Pelodiscus sinensis: one gene and its partners. The protein of the gene in region 3 purifies or fractionates together with the protein of the main gene of each other region. This does not show direct contact. Links are inferred from orthologs where the notes say so. Each region holds a gene or a part of one and is shown on either strand. Other genes may lie near its edges.

What was found.
Region 1: the proteins of MTMR1 (region 3) and SBF1 purify together in Homo sapiens (affinity purification with mass spectrometry; 4 studies listed by BioGRID and IntAct, with this or other methods). This does not show direct contact. The link is inferred for Pelodiscus sinensis from reciprocal best matches to the Homo sapiens genes MTMR1 and SBF1.
Region 2: the proteins of MTMR1 (region 3) and SBF2 purify together in Homo sapiens (affinity purification with mass spectrometry; 3 studies listed by BioGRID and IntAct, with this or other methods). This does not show direct contact. The link is inferred for Pelodiscus sinensis from reciprocal best matches to the Homo sapiens genes MTMR1 and SBF2.

The regions. Positions count from the first base shown.
Region 1 is NC_134711.1:939,190-946,160, forward strand, and holds the start of SBF1 (myotubularin-related protein 5), read right to left. Parts: upstream 3,042-6,971; 5' UTR 2,879-3,041; coding exon 2,824-2,878; intron 1-2,823. UniProt on the Homo sapiens protein: Acts as an adapter for the phosphatase MTMR2 to regulate MTMR2 catalytic activity and subcellular location. Promotes the exchange of GDP to GTP, converting inactive GDP-bound Rab proteins into their active GTP-bound form.
Region 2 is NC_134714.1:105,401,472-105,409,353, reverse strand, and holds the start of SBF2 (myotubularin-related protein 13), read right to left. Parts: upstream 3,056-7,882; 5' UTR 2,907-3,055; coding exon 2,852-2,906; intron 1-2,851. UniProt on the Homo sapiens protein: Guanine nucleotide exchange factor (GEF) which activates RAB21 and possibly RAB28. Promotes the exchange of GDP to GTP, converting inactive GDP-bound Rab proteins into their active GTP-bound form.
Region 3 is NC_134723.1:42,197,601-42,204,985, reverse strand, and holds the start of MTMR1 (phosphatidylinositol-3-phosphate phosphatase MTMR1), read right to left. Parts: upstream 3,091-7,385; 5' UTR 2,949-3,090; coding exon 2,821-2,948; intron 1-2,820. UniProt on the Homo sapiens protein: Lipid phosphatase that specifically dephosphorylates the D-3 position of phosphatidylinositol 3-phosphate, generating phosphatidylinositol. Could also dephosphorylate phosphatidylinositol 3,5-bisphosphate to produce phosphatidylinositol 5-phosphate.

The DNA of each region.
Region 1 (6,971 bases), on a different chromosome or scaffold from region 3:
ACACCTGGCCCCTGATGGCCAGGGCCCATCTGCATTCACTGTCCCATGGCAAGGAGCGCAGCCCCCCGCACTCCCTACCTCCACCACATCCCTAACAGCAACCCCCACAGCCAGCCCACCTCATCCTCTCAGCCATCGCACTCACCCACCCCACCGCAGGCAGCACCCCGTCCCCAGCCGGCCCATCGCCCCCACACTCACCCACCCGCCCACCCTCACCACAGCCCGGGCAGCACCCGCTCCCCAGCCGGCCCATCGCCCCCACACTCACCCACCCACCCTCACCACAGCCCGGGTAGCACCCCCTCCCCAGCCGGCCCATCGCCCCCACACTCACCCACCCACCCTCACCACAGCCCGGGTAGCACCCGCTCCCTAGCCGGCCCATCGCCCCCACACTCACCCACCCACCCTCACCACAGCCCGGGTAGCACCCGCTCCCCAGCCGACCCATCGCCCCCACACTCACCCACCCACCCTCACCACAGCCCGGGTAGCACCCCCTCCCCAGCCGGCCCATCGCCCCCACACCCACCCACCCACCCTCACCACAGCCCGGGTAGCACCCCCTCCCCAGCCGGCCCATCGCCCCCACACTCACCCACCCACCCACCCTCACCACAGCCCGGGTAGCACCCGCTCTCCAGCCGGCCCATCGCCCCCACACTCACCCACCCACCCTCACCACAGCCCGGGTAGCACCCCCTCCCCAGCCGGCCCATCGCCCCCACACCCACCCACCCACCCTCACCACAGCCCGGGTAGCACCCCCTCCCCAGCCGGCCCATCGCCCCCACACTCACCCACCCACCCACCCTCACCACAGCCCGGGTAGCACCCGCTCTCCAGCCGGCCCATCGCCCCCACACTCACCCACCCACCCTCACCACAGCCCGGGTAGCACCCCCTCCCCAGCCGGCCCATCGCCCCCACACCCACTCACCCACCCACCCTCACCACAGCCCGGGTAGCACCCGCTCCCCAGCCGGCCCATCGCCCCCACACCCACTCACCCACCCACCCTCACCACAGCCCGGGTAGCACCCGCTCCCCAGCCGGCCCATCGCCCCCACACCCACCCACCCACCCTCACCACAGCCCGGGTAGCACCCGCTCCCCAGCCGGCCCATCGCCCCCACACCCACCCACCCACCCTCACCACAGCCCAGGCATCAATTTACCTGCCCAGCCTGGCAACACCACTCCGCCCCCCCCACACACACACACACTGCCCCCCCACACACACACACTGCCCCCCCACACACACACTCTGCCCCCCACACACACACACACTGCCCCCCCCACACACACACACTCTGCCCCCCCCACACACACACACTCTGCCCCCCCCACACACACACACTCTGCCCCCCCCACACACACACACTCTGCCCCCCCCACACACACACACTCTGCCCCCCCACACACACACACTCTGCCCCCCCCACACACACACACTCTGCCCCCCCCACACACACTCCCCCCCACACACACACTCTGCCCCCCACACACACACTCTGCCCCCCACACACACTCCCCCCCACACACACACTCTGCCCCCCCCCACACACACTCCCCCCCACACACACACACACTCCCCCCCCCACACACACACTCCCCCCCCCACACACACACTCTGCCCCCCCCCCCACACACACTCTGCCCCCCCCCACACACACTCCCCCCCACACACACACTCCCCCCCACACACACACTCTGCCCCCCACACACACACTCTGCCCCCCCACACACACACTCTGCCCCCCACACACACACACTCTGCCCCCCCCACACACACTCTGCCCCCCCCCCCACACACTCTGCCCCCCCCCACACACACTCCCCCCCACACACACACTCCCCCCCACACACACACTCTGCCCCCCACACACACACTCTGCCCCCCCACACACACACTCTGCCCCCCACACACACACACTCTGCCCCCCCCACACACACTCTGCCCCCCCCCCCACACACTCTGCCCCCCCCACACACACACACTCTGCCCCCCCCACACACTCCCCCCCACACACACACTCTGCCCCCCCCACACACACTCTGCCCCCCCCACACACACTCTGCCCCCCCCACACACACACACACTGCCCCCCCACACACACACACTGCCCCCCCACACACACACTCTGCCCCCCACACACACACACACTGCCCCCCCCACACACACTCTGCCCCCCCCCCCACACACTCTGCCCCCCCCACACACACACACTCTGCCCCCCCCACACTCTGCCCCCCCCACACACACTCTGCCCCCCCCACACACACTCTGCCCCCCCCACACACACTCTGCCCCCCCCACACACACTCTGCCCCCCCCACACACACACACTCTGCCCCCCCCACACACACACACTCTGCCCCCCCACACACACACACTCTGCCCCCCCCACACACACTCCCCCCCACACACACACTCTGCCCCCCCCACACACACTCCCCCCCACACACACTCCCCCCCACACACACACTCTGCCCCCCCCCACACACACTCTGCCCCCCACACACACTCCCCCCCACACACACACTCTGCCCCCCCCCACACACACTCTGCCCCCCACACACACACTCTGCCCCCCCCCACACACACACTCCCCCCCACACACACTCCCCCCCACACACACACTCTGCCCCCCCCCACACACACTCTGCCCCCCACACACACACTCTGCCCCCCACACACACTCCCCCCCACACACACACTCTGCCCCCCCCCACACACACTCCCCCCCACACACACACTCCCCCCCACACACACACACTCTGTCTCCCCCCCCCCCCCCCGGCCCGGCCCGCGCTCACCCCGCTTGTCCAGCTCGTAGCCCACCAGCACGAAGTAATCCGCCAGGCGGGCCATGGCGAGGCCGGGCCGGGCCGGCAGCGGCGAGACGCGGGCGCTGGGGCGGGGCCGCGCGGCTCATAGCCCGGCCGCCCCGGCCGCCCCCACGTCAGAGCCCGCCCGGCGGCGCCGAGCCCCAGCCGCCATCTTCCCTCCGCCGGACCCAGCCCGCACGGACCGCGGGCGCATGCGCGGGGCGGGGCTGAGGGCGGGGGACCGGCCATTGGCCGCCACGCGGCGGGGGCGGGACCAGCTGGGAGGGGGCGCGATTGACCCCTCTCGGCCGGCCTGTACCATGTGGGAGGGGTGTTACCCCAGAGCCCCCTCTCGGCCGGCCTGTACCATGTGGGAGGGGTGTTACCCCAGAGACCCCTCTCGGCCGGCCTGTACCATGTGGGAGGGGTGTTACCCCAGAGACCCCTCTCGGCCGGCCTGTACCATGTGGGAGGGGAGTTACCCCAGAGACCCCTCTCGGCCGGCCTGTACCATGTGGGAGGGGTGTTACCCCAGAGACCCCTCTCGGCCGGCCTGTACCATGTGGGAGGGGAGTTACCCCAGAGACCCCTCTCGGCCGGCCTGTACCATGTGGGAGGGGAGTTACCCCATCGCCCCCCCCCCGGCCAGGCTGTACTGCAGGGGTGTTACTGTTACCCCATCGCCCCCCCCCGGCCAGGCTGTACCGCGGGGGTGTTACTGTTACCCCATCGCCCCCCCCCGGCCAGGCTGTACCGCAGGGGTGTTACTGTTACCCCATCGCCCCCCCCGGCCAGGCTGTACCGCAGGGGTGTTACTGTTACCCCATCGCCCCCCCCCGGCCAGGCTGTACCGCAGGGGTGTTACTGTTACCCCATCGCCCCCCCCCGGCCAGGCTGTACCGCAGGGGTGTTACTGTTACCCCATCGCCCCCCCCGGCCAGGCTGTACTGCAGGGGTGTTACTGTTACCCCATCGCCCCCCCCCGGCCAGGCTGTACCGCAGGGGTGTTACTGTTACCCCATCGCCCCCCCGGCCAGGCTGTACCGCAGGGGTGTTACTGTTACCCCATCGCCCCCCCGGCCAGGCTGTACCGTAGGGGTGTTACTGTTACCCCATCGCCCCCCCCCGGCCAGGCTGTACCGCAGGGGTGTTACTGTTACCCCATCGCCCCCCCCCGGCCAGGCTGTACCGCAGGGGTGTTACTGTTACCCCATCGCCCCCCCGGCCAGGCTGTACCGTAGGGGTGTTACTGTTACCCCATCGCCCCCCCCCCGGCCAGGCTGTACCGCAGGGGTGTTACTGTTACCCCATCGCCCCCCCCGGCCAGGCTGTACCGCAGGGGTGTTACTGTTACCCCATCGCCCCCCCCCCCCGGCCAGGCTGTACCGCAGGGGTGTTACTGTTACCCCATCGCCCCCCCCGGCCAGGCTGTACCGCGGGGGTGTTACTGTTACCCCATCGCCCCCCCCGGCCAGGCTGTACCGCAGGGGTGTTACTGTTACCCCATCGCCCCCCCCCGGCCAGGCTGTACCGCGGGGGTGTTACTGTTACCCCATCGCCCCCCCCGGCCAGGCTGTACCGCAGGGGTGTTACTGTTACCCCATCGCCCCCCCCCGGCCAGGCTGTACCGCGGGGGTGTTACTGTTACCCCATCGCCCCCCCCGGCCAGGCTGTACCGCAGGGGTGTTACTGTTACCCCATCGCCCCCCCCCGGCCAGGCTGTACCGCGGGGGTGTTACTGTTACCCCATCGCCCCCCCCCGGCCAGGCTGTACCGCGGGGGTGTTACTGTTACCCCATCGCCCCCCCCGGCCAGGCTGTACCGCAGGGGTGTTACTGTTACCCCATCGCCCCCCCCGGCCAGGCTGTACCGCAGGGGTGTTACTGTTACCCCATCGCCCCCCCCCCCGGCCAGGCTGTACCGCAGGGGTGTTACTGTTACCCCATCGCCCCCCCGGCCAGGCTGTACTGCAGGGGTGTTACTGTTACCCCATCGCCCCCCCCCCCGGCCAGGCTGTACTGCAGGGGTGTTACTGTTACCCCATCGCCCCCCCCCCGGCCAGGCTGTACCGCAGGGGTGTTACTGTTACCCCATCGCCCCCCCCCCCGGCCAGGCTGTACCGCAGGGGTGTTACTGTTACCCCATCGCCCTCCCCCGGCCAGGCTGTACCGCAGGGGTGTTACTGTTACCCCATCGCCCCCCCCCGGCCAGGCTGTACCGCAGGGGTGTTACTGTTACCCCATCGCCCCCCCCCCCGGCCAGGCTGTACTGCAGGGGTGTTACTGTTACCCCATCGCCCCCCCCCGGCCAGGCTGTACCGCAGGGGTGTTACTGTTACCCCATCGCCCCCCCCCCGGCCAGGCTGTACTGCAGGGGTGTTACTGTTACCCCATCGCCCCCCCCCCCGGCCAGGCTGTACCGCAGGGGTGTTACTGTTACCCCATCGCCCCCCCCCCCCGGCCAGGCTGTACTGCAGGGGTGTTACTGTTACCCCATCGCCCCCCCCCCCGGCCAGGCTGTACTGCAGGGGTGTTACTGTTACCCCATCGCCCCCCCGGCCAGGCTGTACCGCAGGGGTGTTACTGTTACCCCATCGCCCCCCCCCGGCCGGGCTGTACCGCAGGGGTGTTACTGTTACCCCATCGCCCCCCCCGGCCAGGCTGTACCGCAGGGGTGTTACTGTTACCCCATCGCCCCCCCCCCCCGGCCAGGCTGTACTGCAGGGGTGTTACTGTTACCCCATCGCCCCCCCCCCGGCCAGGCTGTACTGCAGGGGTGTTACTGTTACCCCATCGCCCCCCCGGCCAGGCTGTACCGCAGGGGTGTTACTGTTACCCCATCGCCCCCCCCCGGCCGGGCTGTACCGCAGGGGTGTTACTGTTACCCCATCGCCCCCCCCGGCCAGGCTGTACCGCAGGGGTGTTACTGTTACCCCATCGCCCCCCCCCCCGGCCAGGCTGTACCGCAGGGGTGTTACTGTTACCCCATCGCCCCCCCGGCCAGGCTGTACCGCAGGGGTGTTACTGTTACCCCATCGCCCCCCCCGGCCGGGCTGTACCGCAGGGGTGTTACTGTTACCCCATCGCCCCCCCCCCGGCCAGGCTGTACCGCAGGGGTGTTACTGTTACCCCATCGCCCCCCCGGCCAGGCTGTACTGCGGGGGTGTTACTGTTACCCCATCGCCCCCCCCGGCCAGGCTGTACCGCAGGGGTGTTACTGTTACCCCATCGCCCCCCCCCGGCCAGGCTGTACCGCAGGGGTGTTACTGTTACCCCATCGCCCCCCCCGGCCGGGCTGTACCGCAGGGGTGTTACTGTTACCCCATCGCCCCCCCCCCGGCCAGGCTGTACCGCAGGGGTGTTACTGTTATCCCATCGCCCCCCCCCCGGCCAGGCTGTACCGCAGGGGTGTTACTGTTACCCCATCGCCCCCCCCCCGGCCAGGCTGTACCGCAGGGGTGTTACTGTTACCCCATCGCCCCCCCCCCCGGCCAGGCTGTACCGCAGGGGTGTTACTGTTACCCCATCGCCCCCCCCGGCCGGGCTGTACCGCAGGGGTGTTACTGTTACCCCCATCGCCCCCCCCGGCCAGGCTGTACCGCAGGGGTGTTACTGTTACCCCATCGCCCTCCCCCGGCCAGGCTGTACCGCAGGGGTGTTACTGTTACCCCATCGCCCCCCTGGGCCAGGCTGTACCGCAGGGGTGTTACTGTTACCCCATCGCCCCCCCCCCCGGCCAGGCTGTACCGCAGGGGTGTTACTGTTACCCCATCGCCCCCCCGGCCAGGCTGTACCGCAGGGGTGTTACTGTTACCCCATCGCCCCCCCCGGCCAGGCTGTACCGCAGGGGTGTTACTGTTACCCCATCGCCCCCCCCGGCCAGGCTGTACCGCAGGGGTGTTACTGTTACCCCATCGCCCCCCCCGGCCAGGCTGTACCGCAGGGGTGTTACTGTTACCCCATCGCCCTCCCCCGGCCAGGCTGTACCGCAGGGGTGTTACTGTTACCCCATCGCCCCCCCCCCCCGGCCAGGCTGTACTGCAGGGGTGTTACTGTTACCCCATCGCCCCCCCCCCGGCCAGGCTGTACCGCAGGGGTGTTACTGTTACCCCATCGCCCCCCCCGGCCAGGCTGTAC
Region 2 (7,882 bases), on a different chromosome or scaffold from region 3:
AGGCCAGGATCAGGCTGGAGATGACGAGGTGGATCCAATCAAGGAGGATGAGATGAGGCCCACTTCTAGCAGCTGATCTGGAGGTGTGAATTCCAAGAGAGCAGAAGCTGCTTTTGTAGTTAGCAAGCCATTCACAGTCTTTGTTTAATCCAGAGTTGATTGTGTTGACTGTCCTGTTTGGCCGATGTATATAGCAGTGGGGCATTGTTGGCACATGATGGCATATATTACGTTGGTGGATGTGCAGGACATTGTCACTGGTACATTCTCCTGCACATCCACCAACGTAATATATGCCATCATGTGCCAACAATGCCCCACTGCTATATACATCGGCCAAACAGGACAGTCCCTACGTAAAAGAATCAATGGATACAAATCTGATATTAGGAATGGCAACATACAAAAACCTGTAGGGGAACACTTCAGTCTTCCTGGACACACAATTGCAGATCTAAAAGTAGCCATCCTGCAGCAAAAAAACTTCAGGACCAGACTTCAAAGAGAAACTGCTGAGCTACAGTTCATCTTTAAGTTTGACACAATCAACTCTGGATTAAACAAAGACTGTGAATGGCTTGCTAACTACAAAAGCAGCTTCTGCTCTCTTGAAATTCACACCTCCAGATCAGCTGCTAGAAGTGGGCCTCATCTCATCCTCCTTGATTGGATCCACCTCGTCATCTCCAGCCTGATCCTGGCCTGCATATTTATACCTGCCTCTGGAAATTTCCTCTACATGCATCTGACGAAGTGGGTCTTTGCCCACGAAAGCTTATGCTCCTACACTTCAGTTAGTCTATAAGGTGCCACAGGACTCCTCGTCGCTTAAACTATTTCAGGAGACAAACTCTTCAGATTAAGGCCCCATCCTGGAAACGCTTATGCACATTTAGAACTTCACACAAGGTAGCAGTCCAGAAGTCAATAAGATGTGAACGGAATAATGCATATGCTTAAGTGTTTGAACACTCAGGTTTTACAGATATTTGTCCAAGTTTGATCAGTCAATTTACTTCATATAGCAAATATATCAAAGTTGACAGCATCCCTTTAGTAAAAAGCAATCTATATCTTGTATCTTCCACTCTATTGCCCTTTGCTTCTTGCACCCTATTTTCACTTCACAGTGCTTTGTAAATCTATAATTTCACATTGGGATTAGAAAAGACGATATATATGTTATAATGGAAGGACCCAATTATGGTGTGAATTCTAGAAAGGACACCAAATCTTTTATTGACAGATTTTTATATAAGCCTTTCAATCTTATACATATGATTAATAGATTTTATTTGTATGTTAAAGAAAAAAGATGCTAATCTCTTACTATGTATATTTTGAAAATACATAAAATAAACTATGGATTAAGTACTACCTTTAGAGAATCTATTAATACAGACTCAAATACAAGATTTAAATAGGGTTTGTTAGATGTGGCTTTGGGTATTTAAAAAAACACTTAATCATTTAAAATCCATCTTAATTACAATAGCTTATTAAATGATCGCCCTAAAGTATCCACTGAAAGGCAAGTCTGTATGTATTTGTGTACCAGTGGACAACTGAATTGAAAGTGTAAAATACTGCAGTATAAAAGTTGAAAGCTCCTTCAGCAATATCCATAAACAAGTGATGTCATGTCATTATTGACAAATATGATAGAGAGAAAAATATATATTTCATTTAATTAGCAAAATATGATTTTTCTTTGCCTGCAAGGTTGTACACAGAACATAACTAATGTTTCTCCCTGTCTTCTGACCAGAGGGAAGCAAAAACATCTTTGTTGTGACAATTCTATAACAGATGCAACCTAACAGAGTCTACAAAATTCCATATTGTCATCTGCACTATATCAGCAATGGCATTCCAGCAAGTGATAACTAACAATTGTTTGTCCCCAAACAAGGACAATAAACCCAGTCGTTTTCCGGGGAGATCCCTGTTGACTTAGCCAACTTTCTTTTAGTATTATCTTTACTATTCTGCTAAACAAAACATTTAACACACAACACACACACACACACACACACACGCGCACACACACACACACAGAGGTAGGAGAAAGGAACAATAAAAATATTATTCCTTACAGTGAATACACCTCATAAAATAACAAACAAGAATTCTATCTGGGGATTCAGGTTAAGCTAACATTTTTAATAAATGTTGTTAAAAATGGCTGTTTTAATAAACAAAAGCTAATATATTTGTTAGTCTCTAAGGTGCCAAAGGACTACACGTTTTTAAAGATACAGACTAACACAGCTACCCCTCTGATGGTTTATATGATGAAAATTATGAGCCATTTAAAGTCTCTTTTTCATAATTTCCCTCATCCAAATGATCAAGATGGCTTCTATATAGCACAAAAGCCTGCATCCACTATGTGAAATTAGTGCCGGGATCAGACCTCTTCCTAGTCCTGACAATGACCATTCCCCTGCGTCATTCATGATTAGCTCAGGATATGACAGGAGCTTGGGGGGGGGGGGGGGGTTACTGGTGTATTTCTATTTTCACTGACAGACTGCGATAGCCACTCCGCACGTGTCCGTGCTCTGGGAAGGTTCTGAGGCAAACCTGCCTGCCTGGCTCCGCCGGAGGAGAAGAATCCCCCATCCCGCCACTGGCAAGCCACGAACCCCCTTCATGAAAGCAACCGCCTGACTCCACCAACCACCTGCACAAAAACTGTAGCGTTGCCCGCCAGTTCGCCCCTCTCCCCCAACAGCCTCTGGCACGCGCGGCCCCACCGCCTCCTCTCCTGGGTGCCAGCGTGACAGCAGGGCTGGCAAGGGAGGCCAGCCCCGCGCGGGGCGGCAGCGTTACACACCGCCACACCTACCTGGCTTCTCGTGGCCATAGCCCACCACAATGAAATAGTCAGCCAGCCTAGCCATGGCCGAGCCGGGCCCGCCTCGGCCCCCGCCACTACTGAGGCTCTGTTGCCGCTCGGACGCTCAGCATCCTGCCCCCTGCTCCAACAAGAGCAGCACCTCAGCCATGTTGGACGCCCAGGCGCATTATGCGCCTGCGCGCTACCTCAGCCGCTGTGCTATGACCCGGCCTGGGCTGGGCGTGGGCTGCGGGGTTTACAGTTCGCACGCGGCGCGGTGCTGCGGGGCTCTGTTGAGGCTATTGTCAATTTCACACAGGCTGTGGCGGGGTGCAGCGGCTTCCCACCCTGTTTGCATTTGCGAGTACACGCGGCACGAGCAGACCAGTGCATATGTAAAGCTCTCTCCCAAAATAAACGTGCTTGGTCTCGGCGCTTGAACTTGAGCTTGGCTTCTTCCTATTTCAAAGGGTTGCAGGCAGGTAGTTTACCCGTGCACTTCTAGTGCATGCAAAACCAGTCATGTCTCTCTCCAAAATTCCCACCCAAAGATTATGCTCCATAATCTGATAAAGACTGCAACAAGACAACATTGTTCTTTCCTCCTATTTATATTTATTGACGCATTTTTAGTTTAGCTCATGAAAACTACAAAAAAGGTAGCTAAGGGTCTTTCTAAAATATCCTCCCTGACCGAATTCAACACCTAAATATGGGGTTCGGATTTTTTTCTGTTATGAAATGTGCAGTGAAGCACATCGTCCTCTTTGTTTTATATAATATTTTGCAGATGCATGTATAAATTCAGTCTATGCCAAATAAACGCCTTAATAGGAACTATCACAGTATTGCCTTAAAATAGCCTCCCTGAGTAGCTTCTCAAGAATGGAATTTATAGTGACTATGAATTTCCAGGAAGTTTCCTGTTTACATTTTCTTTTGGATGTTAGGAACATGCAACAGTGCGGCAGGAAGCAAGCTTTCCTTAACTGAGTGCAGTTATAATGGCACAGCATTCACCAAGACCTTTAAGTTTTTTCTAGTAACTATATGACTGTTATGCTTAAACTGACTTATCTCTAGCAATAAAGTCAGCAGGGAAATCTGGGAGAAAGTCTGTGTGTATAAGAGAGAAAGGCTATGTCTACACTGCAGAGTTTTTCCAGGATACCAAACTCTGCTGCGTCCAGGGAATGCATCTGCTTTTCCGAATTTTTTTTCGGAAGAGCACACACGCTTTTTTGGCATCCCTGTAAACTTTGTTTTATGAGGAAGAAGGGATGTTCCAAAAAGGGGGGGGGGGCTCTGACATTTGGCCCGGTGTAGATGGGCCAACTGTCAGAAAAGCCTCTTCCGAAAAAAGAAGTAGAAAAGTTTTTCTAGAAGAACAGTGCAGTATAGACATAGCCAGAGAGAGAGAGAGAGAGAGGGGAAGAGAGGGTACGTATACTCAGCAACATTATTTTGAAATAACAGTCCGTGTGTACACAACAGGCCGTTATTTCAAAATAATGGCCAAAATACTGTCAAGCTGGAGGACTTCTTACTCCAACTCCTGTAACCCTCATTCCACAAGGAGTAAGGGAAATCGTAGGAGGAGTGCTTTATTTCAGAATAAGTACTGTGTAGACACTCCCAATTTCGAGATAAGCTATTTCAAAATAAGCTACACAATTGATGTTGCTCAATTTGTGTAGCTTATTTGGAGTTAAACCCAGTTGTGTAGATGCTCCCAGAGAAAGAGAAAGAGAAAGAGAAAGAGAGAACAGGCTGCCTGACTAGGCCTGGCCTAAATGCTATTAACCATATTGGATTGAAATCTTGATGTACCCTGAAATCCTGTTTCCGTACATATTTATTAACAGGTTTTCCAACTGTGCTTTCCTCTCCCACATATGTCACTTTCCATGTGGAGTACAGCTTAGGCACTAGCACCCAAGGAGGAAAAAATCAAGTAGTTATCACTTTAAATCCTCATCAGGAAGGTGTGACTCATGGGCAGTATCTCTTTAATTTAATATTTTTGATCTTCTGCTTACCCATTTCTGTGACACCTTAGCAAAATGCTATTCTTCAAGAGCCTACAGAGCTCATTTACTGTTAAGTGGAAGATTCCAGGATGCTATTTATAGTGTGTAAGTAGGACTGACAACTTTTGATCTTACCCCAAAGCCTAATTGGCCTACTGGGTGATGCAAAGATTTTGCTGAAATGTAGTGTGTCTGACAAGACATTGCTTGATTAACTGGTTGAGTGTATGCCCAAAATAGGCATGTTCAACAGCAGGATAGTTGGATCTGCAGCAGTAAGTGATATGAATCATTGTTCAGTTCAGTTACGTTACCACTGGATTTATTTCTAATCACACCACCATAAATCAGAATATGGAATACAGTAACAAACATATTTTATTTATGAACTTTATTTTCATATGTCAGATATTGAATAACTACACTTTACATTCAGAAGAGGTATAATTAGAAGCAACACTTTTCTAATATAGAACACAATTGTATGGATGATTAAAATCCTCCTGCTTGTTTACTTTCCAGCAGAGGGCAGCAGCTTATATTATTTATGGCAATTAATCATTCCAATATCATGTAGCAAGATTTAGACTTAATAAAATGCAGTGTAAGTGTCAGTAAAAAAGACAACAGTATAAGACGAATCTGTAATATTACATAACTTCTTAGAGAAAAAGAACTTTTGGGGATCTGATTAGATTATTTTGCTTCTCCCTGAGCATTAGAGAAGCAAGAAAAAATTTAAATGATACATTTTAAAAGTAGCGTGCAAGATTTTAGCAGTATCGTCCTCATGGATTTTAATGACTGAAACCAAAAGAGCTGTTTAAAAAATGTAGGGATAAAAAGTCTTAAAATAGTATCCTTTTACTAGTTTGAGATCTTTGGAAGAAAAATATTGCTGAAATAGCAAAAAAGGTATGCTTTAGTTAATCAATCATCTGTGTGAATTGGGATCAATGAGTCCCCACTAAAGTGAAACACAGCAATTGTTTGACCATGCTCAACAAGAATACAGAGCAGCTTTCAACAGTGACAGAATAGTATTCTGTACAATTGAAACTGCAGGGGAAGCTCATACAGACAGAATATAATCACCAAGTTTGGAATTTGACTAGGAGTTTTGGATTAACATTTCTACTTTTACAAAAAAATGCCCTGGAATTATTTTATCAAAACAAATTTGGGAACCTCTACTTCTGCACTTCATTTGAGAGCACACCTCAAAGCAGGTCAGTGTTACATAGGACTTTACTGGGATAATTAATTCAGTGTGCACCTAAGAGAAAAAAATATACTGAGGATTTCACCAACACTGCTACTAACAGTACCTCACTATTTATGCCTCTCCCATCCAAACAGACAAAGCCAAACCTTGGTTAGCTTGCAAAATCTAGTGGGATCACAGCACAGAGTGGCATGACTTAAAAACAGTCAATCAAAAGAAAAAGCACATCTTAATTTTAACTCACCTTGAACTAAACTACCTGGATGGTCACCATCATCATAGTATCTGACCATCTCCCAAATATTTATGGAGTAACCCTCTGTATATCTGTATCATCCAGTAATAGTACCCACTGCAAATGAGGACAAGGGACTAGATAGATAAGATTAGATACTTGCCTGAGGTCATAGAGGAAATCTATAGGAGAGGGAAGAATTGAAACTAATTTTACTGACTCCCTGTCCAACTCCTCAATACTGAGATCATATTTCCTCCTTGGGAGGGAGAGAAACTCATCCTGTTCTTCCTGGATATGAAAAAGAGTTCTCAGGACATTGGGTGGACTTACATTATAGATGGGACATTCCAGATGTTGAATATTATGGAGAAGTCCCAGGCCCTACATTTTCAAAAGTCTCTAAAGATATTTGGGTGCCTCAATTTTTGGATTCTCACCACTTTGTGAAAACCAGATGCCATTATCTCTTGTTAGGCACCTAAAATTCAAGGCACCTACTATCACTAGTCACTTTTGAATATGTTTGCCTTGATTAACTGAAAAGCAATAAACCTAAAAATAAGAGTTCTTCACTTTGATTTTGGCTGGGATTTTACACACTACTTAGTATAGAATACGTACATTAATATCTTTAGTTCAACTTCAAAGCCACTTTAATATGTAATATAACAATTTGCATTTAAATTTAATCATAGTAACATCAAGCCATACTTAAGTGGCAGCTTCCATACTCCTTGCATCCACTGACTTTAAGGGGAAATTTTCTTGCATAAGTCATGTGGAATTTGGCCAAAACTCTATCTTCCCATTGATGCACAGAAATTTTAGAGAAAGTCTCAGGACAATAATGCTACTTAGCACTTTACCTATTCAAAGTGCTGTACGAACACACACTAATCCTCACTATCTCCCTGCAAAGAAGGCATATACTGTTAATCCAATTGTACATACAGGAAAACTGAGATACAGAGAAGTTGAAGTGAGTTGCCCAAGGTCAACAGCAAGTCAGTAACAGATTAAAACTGCATATGTCATAATATGCAGTCTAGAACTCCTTCCTCCAGACCAGCGAGTTTCCCAATTAACAATAGTACTTATGGGAGAATGGACATATCATAGGAAAAAATAATATTTTCTATTGTATTTAATTATGTTGCCTCCAAAATATATTATAAATAATACAGTACTTACAAGGAACTTCCTGTCTCTGTTTTTTATGACGTGCAAGTAACTTGTCTATTTAAGAAATCATTTTCAAAATAAAAAAGGCACTATCACTCTGTGTACAAACCCAGTGCTTACAGCTCACGTTTAAACTCTTTGTGTGTGTGTGTATACTTACTTTCATATCTTTAGTTCAACTTCTAAGTCACTTTAATAGGACACAAGCATGTGAATTCAGAAAACAAGCATATGAAATCAGAAAGTTTTCACGTTAGAACTAAAATCAGCTTTACCTGTCCCAGCCCTTTTCAGAAACTACCCAGATTGATAAAGTGAGTGCCGAGTTTCAATCCCAAGTTAGGCTGATTTATAAATGTGTATAA
Region 3 (7,385 bases):
TATGACACAGCTTCCATACCAGGAGAGATTAATAAGGTTGGGATGTTTCAGCTTGGAAAGAGACAACTAATGGGGATATGGCAGAGGTCTATAAAATCATGACTGGAATAAAATAAATAAATAAATAAAGTGTTATTTACTCTTCATAATTTAAGAACTGGGGTCACCAAATAAATTAATGGGCAGACAGCACATTTAAAACAAACAAAAGGAAATATTTCTTTACACAACACACAGTCAACCTGTGAAACTCTTTGTCAGAAGATGTTGTAAAGGCCAAAACTAGAAGAGGGTTTAAAAAAAAACAAAAAAAACCCCACAAACCTTAGATAGGTTCAAAGAAGATAGATCCATCGATAGCTATTACCCAGGATGGGCATGACTGTAAAAGCATGCTGAAGCTGGGAATGGGTGGCACAGGATAAATTACTTGATGATTAACTGTTCTGTTCATTCCCTCAGACGTATCTGGCATTGGCTACTAGCAGAGAACAGGATACTGAGCTAGACAAACCACTCGTCTGACCAGTATGGCCGTTCTTATACTCTTATGAATCATAGCAATGCTGAATGTTGCTATGACAGGAGGGAGGAGACGCTCTACAAGCACAGTCAAGGCTTGCTTTGATATTCAAGCAGTTGTACATAAAAGCCTCCCCTCTTAATGCCAGGAACTGCAAGGTTCACTATTGGTACCACGATACTGTTCTTCACATATGCATAACATGCCTTCTCCCAGCCTCACTCTAGTATCAAAGGAATATAATTATCTTTGTATTTCTAAACAAAATTACTTTGAACACTATAGGTAAATATTTTTAAATAACCAACTTTTGAATTATCTAAATCCCAAATTGCCATCCTAAACAGTTAAAAGATAATTTCCTCACATGTTCTGATAATGCTAACTGATAAAGGAAATGTTACATTTGCAAGAAAATTCTTCTTTGGTAAGATAGAAGCGGGAGGAACTTCAACCCAAAAACATATTGGGAAGAAATGTATAAGTGCCTGAAAAAAAAGAAGATGCTTCTCACTTCCCCTATGTAAATAAAACACTGCTAATTTAACACAAACAACATGCACTTCACAAAACAGTCTGATCTCAAGCAATCCACTACTGTATTTTATCCAGAAATCAGTCTTGCCTGCAATTCCAAGCCCATCAAGCATGTGTCAAGGTGGAAGGAGAAGAAAAAGAGAGACAACCATTACCACAGCGTAAAACCAACACAAAGCAATTATTGGTTTGGGGGGCTTTTTTTTTTTTTTTTTTTTTTTGCTTGATTCCAGCTACTCACACGGCTCCCATAAGGTTACCTATCAGTTTGTGCATACTAGATTTGTTCATATTGATGTAGCATGCATATGTATTAGAGCTTTTAAAAGCTCTCTCAGATATCACTTACCTAAGGTAAGTTATGTAATAATTTTCCCCCATTTTTTAAGGCATGAAGTACATCACTCAAATTGGATAGTTTTCCATTTGTTTGAGGTTACAATTCCAATCTCCACATTTATGTCACAAATGCAACCTGCTGCACGGAGCACTGCATAAAGCTACAGTGGTGTAAAACAACAGTTTCAATCATTTGGCAAAAACAACAAAATGTCCTGTGGCACCTTAAAAATGAACAGATTTATTTGAGCATGAGCTTTCGTGGGCGAAAACCCACTTCTTCACATGCATCTGCTAAAGTGGATTTTACCCACTAAAGCTTTGCCAATGGTGGACAACCAGTGGCCCACAGGCTGTATGCAGCCCATCAGGGTTCTACGTGCGGCCCATGAGACATTTTGTTTATCACTGATCATGCACAAGGTTGTCAGATTCCATCGGTTTCTAGCCATGTAGGTTTTTCCTACATGTATTACTAAAGCTACAAGCCCGTAAAGCAAGGGCACATGAAGTCAGGCGTGTGCTGATTGCACACAGCATAGTCTGTGAGAGCTGTGTGTTCCCTCTGCATCCAATCAAAGCGCTGCTACGGTTCAATCGGCACATCCTGTACATTCTAGGTAGGCAAGCGCCATTCGCAAAATGACCCTGTCCCGGAAGTAGGGATGTAACAGTGTAGTCGATTAACTGATAAGCAAAACCTTATCGGTTAATGCTATAGACTACATGCATTTCCCCCCTCCCCCATCAGTACATTTTTCAGCAGGCTGGTCAGCAGTCTGGCTTAGTCTTGGCTCAAGCTGGGTCCCAGACCTACCCCCGCTGCGGCTCTGCATTTAAAGTATATTAGGAGCCAGGCAACCGGAGTCAGTTCCGGCACACGCCAGATCCAGGAGTTCAGCTCTCCCCTCCCGCTGGACAGAGATTGCTACCACCGTGCGCTGCTGCCGCTGCATCCGAGGCAGCCGCGCAGGGCGACAGGCAGCCGGTCCCGGAGGGGAGCTGGTTTTTGAACCGGCTCCCCGCTGGGACCAGCTCCCGCCTGGCACCTCCATCAGCACGACGGGGGGCCCCTCCGGAGCGGGGCCGGAGCCCGCGGGCTCTACCGCCGGAACAGGGGGGTAACCGATAAGAATTCAGGAGGGTCGCCTCCTCGCGCCTCACCGATATCGAGCGCCCCTGCGGGAAGGGGGTCCCCACAGTCGGGGGGGGGGAGGTGACGCCGGGCCCCTCGCTCGCCCCACAGAACCCCCCCCCCCATGAGGAGACCCCACCACCTCTGCACTGACTGGCGGGGGGGGGGGTCGTCTCTAGGCGCTACCCCGCCCGGGCCGCTGAGGGGAAGGAGCCGCCCCAGGAGCCCAGCGCGGGGGAGGAGCCGGGGGAGCTGCGGGCGGGTCGCGGGGGGGCTGCTCACCCACCTGTCCAAGGTCTCCACGCTGGGCTGGCGGGGGCCCGCGGCGGCGCCCCCCGGCCCTGCCGGCCGCACGGACCTGCGGGCCGCCCCGCCGAGGCCCTCCAGGGCCGGCCCCGCCGCCGGCCGCTCCATCGCCCCGCCGCGATCCGCCGGGCCCAGGAACTGTCACCTGGCGGCGGCGCTTACCCACAGGCCTCCGCGGCGCCCAGAGGGCGGGGAGCGGCCCGGACGCCCCCCCTCCCCTCACACGGGGCCGCCGGAGCCTGGCCTCGCAGGGGGGAGCCCCCCCTCCGTGTCCAACGCCCCCCCGCGAGCTGAGGGCGCGCAGCCGGGCAGGCCTGGGGCGGGGGCTTGGCCTCGCCGAGCCGGACTGGGCCCCCCACGGGGCAGGGAGGCGGCACGCCCCGCCTGAGGGGGGAGAACGTGGGGTTCCAAAGGGGGGGTCAAGAAACTCCAGGGGGGCGCCAGGCGACCCAGCCCGCCCCCATCCAGCTTTGCTGTCCCCCCCCCCCTTTTTTGCTCAACAAGTGTTGCTGCTATTTTGGGGGGGGGGGGTTCAGAAATCAAAAAGGGGCGGTGATGCCAAAAAGTGTGGGAAGCACTGGGCTAGCACAGCAGCACTGCCCTCAGGCCGGGTACCCACCAGAGAGGGCTTCAGCACTTCCCTTGGAATGCAGGGATCGGATTAGGAAAGGAAACAGGCTCCTTTGTGTTTGGAGAGAAACCCCTCTCCGCGTGGTCATGTATCTCACTTTCAGAAGAGGATTTATTTTGTAATGTAACTAACCTCCCCCTGGAAGGGATAGTCCACAGGCTTTTTATTATTTCTACTGTAGCCTCCTCCCAACATGTCAGCGAGTTTTAACTATGGGGAGTTTGAGGAATGTGGTACAGCTGGATGACAACCCAAAAGATGGGTTTTTTTACTTTGATCCTTTTGCTATTGTGGAGGGGAAGTATACCACGCTTTAGATCAGTATATTGATCTCCTAGTCTGTAACTCATGGGTTCCCAAACTGGGGGGGGCGTGAAGAAAGTCCAGGAGGGCGCAAGGCAACCCAGCCTCCCTCCTCCCCCCCAATCACGTTTTGCTGCCCTGGTCAGTTAGAATCATAGAACCATAGAGCTGGAAGAGACCTCAGAAGGTCACCGAGTCCAGCCCCCTGCTCTAGACAGGACCAATTCCAACTAAATCAACCAGGCCAGGGCTTTGTCAAGCCGAGACTTAAACACCTCTAGGGATGGAGACTCCACTACTTCCCTAGGTAACCCATTCCAGTGCTTCACCACCCTCCTAGTGAAATAGTTTTTCCTAATATCCAACCTGGACTTTTCCCACCACAACTTTGAGACCATTGCTCCTTGTTCTGCCATCTGTCACTACTGAGAACAGCCTTTCTCCATCCTCTTTGGAACCTCCCTTCAGGAAGTTGAAGGCTATCAAATTCCCCCTCTCAGTTCCTTTTTTTTTTTTTTTTTGCTGCTGTTTGGGGGGGGCATAAGGGTTTTTCAGAAATCAAAAAGGAGGGTGTGATGCCAAAAAGTTTGGGAACCACTGAACTGGTGGCATGGTTTTGATTATCAAGCAGATTACAATAAAAGAACGGGTACAGCCAGTTCTTCCTGTAAAGAAGAATTAGGACTGATAAAAAGATGTTCACTAATGGCAGCAGTACATTTCATTTAGCAAGTATTCTAAGGAATCTGTTTAAAAAGTTTGAGTGCATAACATTTTCTCCAAGTAGCCTCCCAATGTCAATAAAAAAGAATAAGGCTTATAAACTTTATCAACTGGAGTTTGAGATGCTCTCAAATTTTACATCTATTTTTAAGGAGCACACACTTTTACCAGTGTTTCTCAACCTTTTTTTTTTTTATTATAAAATATCTCTTACAAAAAATTCTAAGTACCCCAAGTACCTAAAGTTTTCAAACACTTTTTTTTTCTACCATTGCAATACATTTGTTTAAACAACTTAATTGTAGCTGGGTGGGCGATGACATTTTTGGGTGTAAAAAGTACAAAAATAATAAAGCTTAAAATTCAGTTCCCAATATCAGTGGTGTTGACATACCCCCGCCCCCCCAGGCTTCTCGCAAGTACTTCTAAGGGTACTTGTACCACTAGTTGAGAAACACTGCTTTAAACAATAGCATCTTTAGTAATTAGCAAATCTGAGTTACTATGCCAATTATGTGAAAGATAAATTGATTTAATAACCAAATTGGCTGAAAAGTATAAAATCTCTCTAGCAAGATAGATGCATAAAAATCCAGACATCAACATGAAACCTTTTTCTTTCACTCATACATGCAGTTGTATTATTTGATTACAAAGAATTACAAATGTGCTAGAGACCGCATCTGCTATGTCTGAACTGTTACAATGTTTTGCTACGTACCATGCAGCTTAAAAACCCCACATTTTTAGAATTCTGGTTATTTGTAAATAATGTTTTGTTGATCAATGACAATGTGCTCTGCCGTGCTGTACAAAAGCAAGAGTCTGCCTTGAAGAGTTAACTGTCCTAAAAGACAGGTTTCATAGAACAATAAGGGAGTTTTATAATCGGTATACCTGTAACATGATGTTACAAGAATGTGCAACAAGGGCAAAAAGTGAATTTTTAGAAGAGCTATGAATAAGGAGAAGTTGGGACTTGACATAACGGAACTGGGTGCTCATTCTAGGCCCGGGCTGGGCAATGTGTGGTCCACCTAACACTTCGATCCGACCAGCAGATTGCATCTGGCCACTTTCTATTTATATCTTGCAGCCCACGTCATCAAATTTACAAGCAGTGGCTCAGGCAGCAGAATCCTATTTATATGGCTCCTGGCAGGGGACAGAGCCACAGCAACCCATGGCAGCTGCCAGACAACACCCTAGTGGAGGAGGCACATGCCCTTTGTGTGTTTTTAATTCAAAGCCTCTGGCCTAGACAACTCTGGGGAAGAATAGTCCCCAGCCACACCCCCTTCCACCTCAAGTCCTGCCCCTTCCTGGGTGGAGCAGGCCCATAACCACATACCAAAATTCATTAAGTCACCTCCCCTATGAAACGTATTGCCCACACTCCTTTGAAATAGCATGCAAATAGGAATGGGAGAAGGAAACTAACATTTTGGAGCTGGCATGGGTGATCACGGTAGTAACACAGGATACGTATGTGCAGCTTGTTCATCTTTTATATCTAAACCCTGTCTGATGTAAAAGAAAAGAATTTTTCTGAGGTGAGGAAGAAGGGGATTTCCTCACAATGGAGATTTGCTGAAGTCATTTTGGCAGGCACCATGGTGCAGAAACACACAACAATAAAAGACTGTCCAACATTGTTCTTAAAAATGCCTAAAAACTTTCATCTCATTCACCCTCCCTAAACTAAGAGTTTGGCTGGTCTCTCCTAACTACCTTGGCTAAGAAACTGAACCAATTGCTGTGTAGGACCCAATTCTACAATCCACTGCTGTGTCCAGACAGAGCTCCAGTGTTCACCAGCATGCAGTGAACCACAAAATCAGGAGCTAAACATGCAGTTTAAAACAAACAGAAAAAGCTATGTATTAATATCAATCATAGGTTTCATTCCTATATCCAGAGTCATGTTAAGATTAAAAGGTGCACATCTGCTAGAATGAATAGAAGCTTCAAAAAATCAGAAAGGTTCAGTTTTGTATTTAAGATTGCTATTTTAATAGAATTAAAAACAAGTGTTTTATTCTAAATTACTGTCTTCACAAAGAATCCAAGGGAACATATAGCTAACTTACAGGTTTTCAATGAATTTCAGCTCTAGCCATATAAAAATATGCAGTATAAACTGTATTGGCAATATAAATGAATTGTATATATGAAATGAAAACAAATGCCTTTAATACTTTTCATTGTATTGAACAATAGGCTTATCATGTAGTATTTACAAAGTAAAACTAGATTTTCTTAAATCTTCCACACTGTTGAAAGAGATTCTACACCTGTTTGATCCAATCTGTACAATTGTCAAACTGTCAGAAAACCTATTTTTTTTATAAACCATACACAAACAGAAGGCAGTTACACCATAATCTGCATAGTTTTTAAATTATGTTATACTCTGCCATACAGATAAGTGGCAGAGATTAATTTGAGCTTCCTTGTTCATTATATGTTCTGCACCCAATTTATCTTAACATGTCAAGATTTTTAGGAAGAGAGGGGGAGCGGAGAGAGGACGGGAAACGGACCTCAAAGCTGCTGCTCCAGATACATATGCAGAATAATGTACAAGACAGATATGGGGAAGAATGAAATTGACAGGACAAAAATAAGTGGAGATCAGCAACATGTCCTTAGAACACACACAATACAAGCAATATTCTGTATTTCCCTGAAAAAAAAATAGTGCAATTTTCTTAGCATAATATTTACTGTTTCAAATTAAGAGGCGCTTTATTGTTATGCAAAATACTATTTCTAAAATATTCCAATGTTCTCTCAACTATCTGATTTTTATCCAGCTATATGCTTTAAGTTTAGCTTTTGTACCCAAATATTTACACTTTACAAAAACTGCACAATTTCTAATAAAC